Lepisosteus oculatus: one gene and its partner. The protein of the gene in region 1 interacts with the protein of each later gene in a pairwise test. Links are inferred from orthologs where the notes say so. Each region holds a gene or a part of one and is shown in the gene's direction. Other genes may lie near its edges.

What was found.
Region 2: the proteins of kxd1 (region 1) and MOB kinase activator 1A interact in binary tests that used the Homo sapiens proteins (3 or more experiments, as listed by UniProt). The two-hybrid records come from large-scale screens. The link is inferred for Lepisosteus oculatus from reciprocal best matches to the Homo sapiens genes KXD1 and MOB1A.

Annotation. Positions count from the first base shown.
Region 1 is NC_090702.1:56,035,086-56,038,838, reverse strand, and holds the start of kxd1 (kxDL motif-containing protein 1), read left to right. Parts: upstream 1-1,560; 5' UTR 1,561-1,644; intron 1,645-2,964; 5' UTR 2,965-2,996; coding exon 2,997-3,091; intron 3,092-3,753. Other genes in the region: ovch1 (ovochymase-1), read left to right, coding at 204-368.
Region 2 is NC_090697.1:68,319,473-68,323,225, reverse strand, and holds the start of MOB kinase activator 1A, read left to right. Parts: upstream 1-1,049; 5' UTR 1,050-1,284; coding exon 1,285-1,298; intron 1,299-3,435; coding exon 3,436-3,602; intron 3,603-3,753. UniProt on the Homo sapiens protein: Activator of LATS1/2 in the Hippo signaling pathway which plays a pivotal role in organ size control and tumor suppression by restricting proliferation and promoting apoptosis.

The DNA of each region.
Region 1 (3,753 bases):
TTTACAGAGTCTGATTTTTCTATACTCTATACTTGCTTAAATTAAAGTTGAATTACTTTGAGTAGGTCGGGGTTTCAGGTCCACTTTTTGCCCATTTCAGTGGGTTGAAAGGGAGTTGGAATGAACCCCGAGCCTGACTGTGAACCATCAGAGTCTCGAATAAACTGAAGAGAATTTGTGTCAAACGTCCTCCCTCCCTCCAGGGGATCTCCGGAGGGGCGCTGGTCTGCAGCAGAGAAGGTGTGTCTTCCCTGTGGGGCGTGCTCACCTGGGGCAGCAAGACCTGCACAGCGCACAGGCCGGCTGTCTTCACCAGGGTGTCAGCCTACAGGTCCTGGATAAAAGACGTCACGTGGGGAGAGGTGTAAATACTGAGCAGCACGTCTGAAATAAAGTCTTAACCAAGATGCTCGATTCACTGGCTATGAATTCTTGCTGTTGTTGTTGACTCGGATCATTCTTCACATGATTAGGAGGTAGTTTTCTGGTTGACAAATGATACGATCGATTGGTGATTGATATGATAATCCAGGGGTCAAGCCAAGCCAGGGGTCTCCGTCCCGGTCTTGAAGGACCACGCGGCTGCTTAGATGCATAACTGAACCCTTAATTGACTTGATATTATCAATTCAAAAGATTGTTCTTTTTAAACATGCTGGAGGCTGCCTTTTATTATTGCATTTCATACATAACATACTCAGACTATAAAACAAATCCTGCAAATATTTCAATCAAGCAACTTCTCAGTCCAGCTCAGTGACGAAGCTCAGTGGGAAGGAAGGCCGGCAACTGTGTGGCACTCCAGCCCTGGAAGTGGGAGCCCCTGGCCTGAGGCCCTTCGGCATCTCGCGCTCATCTCTCAGGAACCAATCAGCTGAGCTGGAGAACCAGTCTCCTGCCACAGGAGGTTTGCAAAGCCTGTTGGGATACAGCGCATTACTACATCCCTGTAGTGGTCTGGTGTTGGGTGGCTCTGAAGCTGGCATTGTTACATGCTGTAAATGCACGAAAGGCAAAGCCCAAGCCAGAGATCTAATGATCTTCTTCTGAGTATGAGTTTCATATCAATACAGTTTCATATCAATACACCATGAAACAAGTGACCTGTCCATGTTGTTGAAGCTGATACTGAAGAAACAACTGAAGGAGAACCCTGGATCACTTAACAACCGAATTCCACTAAATACCAAGAGAGCTAGACTGGTCGAATGGTATCCTTCTTCTTTATAGCTGTTCTTAATTCTGAAAGTGAGAGGACATATGGCATGGAAACAAGCTGGATTGTTGCTTTATTTAATATTTCACTGGAAAACCTGCAGGAACAACGCCCCCCACCGGCCAAAGATCGCCCGTGCTCCATCCTCCTGCAGTAATCGGTGCTGTATTGATACGAAACGGGCAGTGTTTTAGATTAAAAACGCAGGACTTCCAGGGCCTGGGAATCCGCCTCTTCCGCCAGCGTGCACACGTGGTTCCGCGCCGGACAGGAAGTCCCTTGTGCGTTTCCGCAATACGGAAGTGAGCGCAGCGCAGTCGTGCTCAACCGAGGAAGGGCTGGAGACGTTTATTTACTACAACTAAATGAGGCTGTGGAAGTAAACATTAACCAGGATTACACCCACGGCAACCCTTGGCGAAGCAGGCGTGAGTTTACAGATGTAGCAAAACGAAGAGATGCCGCTTATTTCGCGTCTTCCATACCAGATCATGTCAAACTCCGAGCGTTACTCCTAACATTCAGTAGACAAGTCTAGGATCCGAGAGCTGCATCATGCCCATTCTCCTCTTCTTCATTTCTTGAACGAGTGACAGTGCGAGTTTGAGCGATACGATGCGCATTGGGGAGGCTGGCAGCCCCGGTTCAAATACGCGTCACTTGTCAAATAACAGGAGGTCGGCTGAGCCTTTTGAAGATGCGGACTTAAAAAAAAATGAACTGTGGAACCGTCCAGAAGTGGTTCATACGGAATCGACACTTGCTCGTTTCGTCTTCGGAATGCCGAATCGGTCTCAAAAAAAAAAAAAAAGTGTGTGAGGTGTTTTAAAATTCGCTTCCTGAACAGTTAGGCTTGACACCAGTAAACAAATTGCACGCGTGTCGTTTTCCAGTCTTGCGATGCACTGGCTTTACCGACAGCCGGTGGCGCTTCTGAGCGTGCATGGTAGTATATGCGTTTTATCTGGTGCTGGGGAGGTACAGTACGTGGCTGTTTGAGTCGCCGTGTGACGTTGACTCCAGGCTGCAGGGGTGCTGTGCACTCGATGCCCGTGTTTCCAAGTAAATCTCTTCAGTGAAGACCGCGGCAGCTGCTCAGTGCACATGCGGCTTCGAACGAGGCCCCAGCTGTAGAAACCAGGAAGGACCTCCTGCACCCTTCTACTGCATCTTCCCCATTCATTGCTTCTTCTGCCCATCTGATGTCTGGGATTCGTGTTTCTGCTTCCTGTTCGTTGTGACTTGCCCTTATCCAGTTCTGTTTCGGCAGGTGTCTGCCCCGGTCTGTAGTCTTTGCGTCCTGGTGTGATGCTCGTACAGTTACGGCACTATTTACAGTTCTGCCTGGATTGGTGTCCTCTGCACATTAGAAGCGATTTGAGTGTGGTCATGATTTGCCAGAGCTCGTCTTATTTCTGCTGCTCTCACTCTCGCCGGGACCTCCCAGCAGCCGGATCTCCTCCTTGCTGTGTGCTGCTCCGAGTGTAGAACAACAACACCTCGATTCCCCTGACACGCTCCTGTCACTGATGTTTGATCGAGTAGGCTCAGGACTGCCCGTAGTGTCTGTTTTTTCCTCCTTTCTTGTCATTTTTCATTTAAATTTCTGTGATCCCTTTACATTCTATAACTTTAACACTGATTTAACGTTTTGTTTGATTAATGAATGAAAGATTTCATAGTTATTTCTCAATTTACCAGCTTTTAATTTGCGTGTCTTTTTGTTTATATCTACTTTGTCCATTTAGGACACTGCTGGTTCTTTGCTCGAAGGCTCAGCATGGAGCCGACTGCTTCCGGCATGTTCTGCGACAGGATGCTCAGCATGGTCAATTCTGAGGATGTGAACGCCATCATCCAGGCGCAGAGGCACATGTGAGTACGATGCGTGGCTCTCGTCTAACTGCACTGTAATTCTGAGAATAAAAAAAACGTTTTGTCAGATGACATGCAGATATATCTGTGTTGTATAACACAGGAATTATTTTTTTGAAGGAAACACATCTGTTACATACATAAATAAGAGAGAGAGAGTTTCTCGATTGTCCCCGAGGTGGCAATTTGTTTTACGGCAGCAGACAATATCAGGAAAACGCACAAACAAACAACACGCATCAACATGAGCTAGAGAATCCTCTGGGCAGGATTCTGGGCGCAGGTTTCAGTAATAATAGCTCCACTGGATGCTCCACTCAAAGCTCTTTACAGGTAATGGGGATCCCCTCCACCACCACCAGTGTGCAGCCCCACCTGGATGATGCGACAGCATCCATAGTGCACCAGTACACTCCCCACACACCAGCTCTCAGTGGGGAGGAGAGCAGAGTGCACCAGTACGCTCCCCACACACCAGCTCTCAGTGGGGAGGAGAGCAGAGTGCACCAGTACACTCCCCACACACCAGCTCTCAGTGGGGAGGAGAGCAGAGTGATGAAGCCAGTTACATTGAAAAAACAAATAATATATAGGAAAGATGTTGGCTTCATTCTAGATTTAATTTTTTTAGTTTTATATTGCTGTTTTTTGTTCTTTAAATC
Region 2 (3,753 bases), on another chromosome or scaffold:
CAGCATATAGCATTCTGGCAATAAACAAGAGCATAAGAAAGATCACAAATGAGAGGAGGGCATTCATCCTGTGTTGTACAATGTGGTGAGGTATTTGCTAATTGATCCACAGATCTCATTTCCTGGAGGAAGCTGAAGTATAGGTTTAAACCACATGGCTGGGTAGCTTGTTTCATACCCCCACACTTCAGCCTTTGGGTAAAGTAGAGCCTCTTTTTTCTCAGTTTTAACTGCACTTCCACATAGGTTCTGAGGTTTCTCTGGTTCGTGTTTCGCTAATCATTTTGGAGAAGTCCACTTCGTTGACTTGGAGGATTTTTAATCTGTGCATCGGGTTCCCTTGTAGTCTTCTCTGTTCAAGACTGAAAAGATTTAGTTCTTTCTGCCGGTCAGTGACGAGCATTCTCAGATTTGTTTGAAGGATAGGTGTACCTTTACGTTCATTACTCTAATTCACCCTAACGGGCTGGAGCCTAACCCAACAGACACTGTACACAAGGAGGGAATTTCATTCATATTTTTCTCACACATCTACAGAAATGTCCTGGTTTTAATTCTTTGCAAAAACTGTAAACAATATAGATTCACATTAGAATAGTTTTATTATTTTTCTACAATTTGATGTCTCATCAAATACTTTGAAATCACTTGGCAAAGCACACTCCAGCAGATCTCATAGGTCACATTGAAATCAGCTTTCTGTAAAGGCCTGGAACGCATGCGAGGTTTGATCAATGAAGCACATGAATAGGTCCAATTAGGTCAGGAATGGTCAGCCACAGTGCTTGAGAGCTACAGGGTTTTGCTCTTTTCATTTCAAACGATCTCTAAACTACTTGATCCAAGCACTTAGAAACTAATGACATAAGGGTGACCCATATAAACTGTCGGATTGTGGCTCCGCCGCATGGACATGTACAGTACTCCGACTTGTGTTTTTGAGAATCAGTTAATACTGTACAGTACTTTAGCGCTAATTATCCAGAAGGGGGCAGCAGATGCGTGTTATTTGGCACAGTTCTGCACATCTCGAGGGCCAGTCTCGCGATATCGCGGTTGTACTTGCGGTCTGATTCCCTTCAGTGCGATGAGAGTCGCAACAAGGGTCTTTCGAGTCACTTTTAAATATTTCATTTTATTTGTCTGAAGTGGAGAAAAAAAATATTACTCCCTCAGAATCCTTTGTCTCTTATATTCTTAATTGTTTCAAGTAAGCAACGACCATTTTTTTTGTTTTTCTTCGTTAGTGGGAGAGGGCACAGTTGTGATCATCCGGACTTGGAAATGAGTTTCCTCTTGTAAGTAGAATGAGAAATGTTAATCTCTTCCTGTTTTCAGTTTAAGCGTTTTTATTTTGAACTTTTGTTTCAATTCTGCTGTCTAAAAGACTTCCTTTGTTATTGCCGTAAACTCTGGCACAAATATCGATGGTTACCCACTGAAACGACGAATTATAAACTTTATTTTCACGAAGCAAGAAGTGCGGTACGAAGGTTGTACCTCTTCAGATGGCTAATGGCGTAAATAAGTTGGGGAGGTGTTTTTTCTGTTGTTAACTTAGTCTGCTGGCACACACGCAAAAGACGGCTTATATAATAACCACCACCGCTACTCCGCAAAAAAGATTTATTTCAGCTTTCTCGAAACAATGAGAAAAAAGAAAACATTTTAGCGATCAAAGCTTTTGAAGAAGCCCTTGCAAAATCCGTGATCTCAGAGATCAATTAGACGGAACTGCTGGTAATTTACCCACCTCCACGGAAAAATGAGCATGTCGTCGTAGTTAATCTTAAGAAACGACAAAAAGTAAGTAAACCGTTTGGGAGAGGGCAAGAAGTCAGTATTTATTTAATTCTGGTCAATTACATTTACCATTCTTATTAACACAAAATAAACTAAAATTATGGGAGTTCTGCGCGTAATAGTAAATTGAAACCGTATATCTAGAATTTATCATCATACATTACATTGATATGTGATCTGAGGGGTTTTATTCGATACTTGCATCGTAGTAGGTGCATCATAGGTGCGGGTGAGCATTCGAGTTAAACTTTATTTTATATAGCATCTTTAAAGGTGGCTTCACAAAGCACTTTACAGAATGAGAACAACAATAAATAAAAAGCATAAAACACAATTACAATATGCAGAGGAGACCGTGGATGGTGGTACTCTGAAAAGCAGAGGGGTGAAGAATGGAACCAGTTAAGTAAAGGCTTTTCTGAAGAAGAGGGTTTTGAGTCTGGATTTGAAGGAGTTTAGAGAAGGTGACTCTGATATCCTTGGGCAGAGAGTTCCAGAGCTTGGGGGCATAACAGGAGAAGGCCCTGTCACCCATAGAATGTAGATGGGCTTGGGGGACAGTAAGGAGGGCAGAATTCGAAGAGCGAAGGTTGCGAGGTGGGGAGTAGGGCGATAATAGTTCAGACAGGTACTGAGGTGCCAAGCCATGTAGAGCATGAGGATTTTAAAGTCCACACAGAATTTTGACAGGAAGCCAGTTCAAGGACTCCAGAATAGGAGTAATGTGATCACTTGCACTAGACCTGATCAGGATCCTGGCTGCTGAATTTTGGACATACTTCAGTTTGTTAAATAAAATCTTAAATAAAAAGATTGAAAGTAAGGTTGCAGCAGTAAATATAATTTATGTATTCAACCTCCATAACCAGGCATTTTTTGGGGGGGCTCATGCTTGTATTTTTCATTTTGGGCATGATATGACAAATATGTTTATAGAATTAGGTGATATCTGTTCGAATGATTAAGTAGAAGATGATTTTTAGGACCGAGTTAAAAAGTGGAAAATTGAGAACTTGACTATCATATGACACTTCACATCCTGCTTCTTGGTGGCCTTGAGCCAAAATGCTATTTCAGCGATAAAACATCCAGCCTTGTGATTTTGCAGAACTAGAATACAAAAGGATGAGCTTTTGAGGAAACCTGAAGTCATCGAGCGAAGTAAAGTTGAGTTTAGTCCGCAGTACTTCGTTACTTATCTATTTTTTGGAAGTCGGAGCAGCTCAGCTTGGAGCTGGTTAGAATGGTTTCCAAGTCCTTGACATCTCCTGCTAAGGTTCAAGTTAGTGGCTGCATCAGCATGCGGAGGCTGCAAAAGGAACAAGTAAAGCATTTCTCCATGCTGGAAAGAGAAGAAAAGAAACTCAATGTGTTGGCTGTGGAGCCTTCTTCGGGTGTCTTCACACTTGAAGCCTAAACGTTGTTTCTAACCCCCTATTACAGTCTACCTGATCACAGTTTTTTATAAAGACACTTCCCCATGGCTTTTCTTACACAATGGGAGAGCCATTAACGAGACATTGTGAAGGTCGCCCCGGTTGCTGTGGTGGGTGGTGAAAGTACGCTCTACGAAGTAACGACTTGACCCGAAACTTCGTTTCTGTAACGGGGTTCTCCTCTTTTCTGCAACAGCGGCAGCCGCTCCTCCAAGACCTTCAAGCCCAAGAAGAACATCCCGGAGGGCTCGCACCAGTACGAGCTGCTGAAGCATGCGGAGGCCACGCTGGGCAGCGGGAACCTGCGGCAGGCCGTCATGCTGCCCGAGGGCGAGGACCTCAACGAGTGGATCGCCGTCAACAGTCAGTACCTCGGAGCGCGAGGCCACTTAGAAACGAGAGGTCTAACCTGTGTGGTCGTTAGTAGCCAGTGGATCTCGTCCAGACCTTAGTTGAAAGAAGCCAGTGGATGGGTTTCCACAGCAAGCCTGGGCAGTCTGTTCCAGACTCTCAC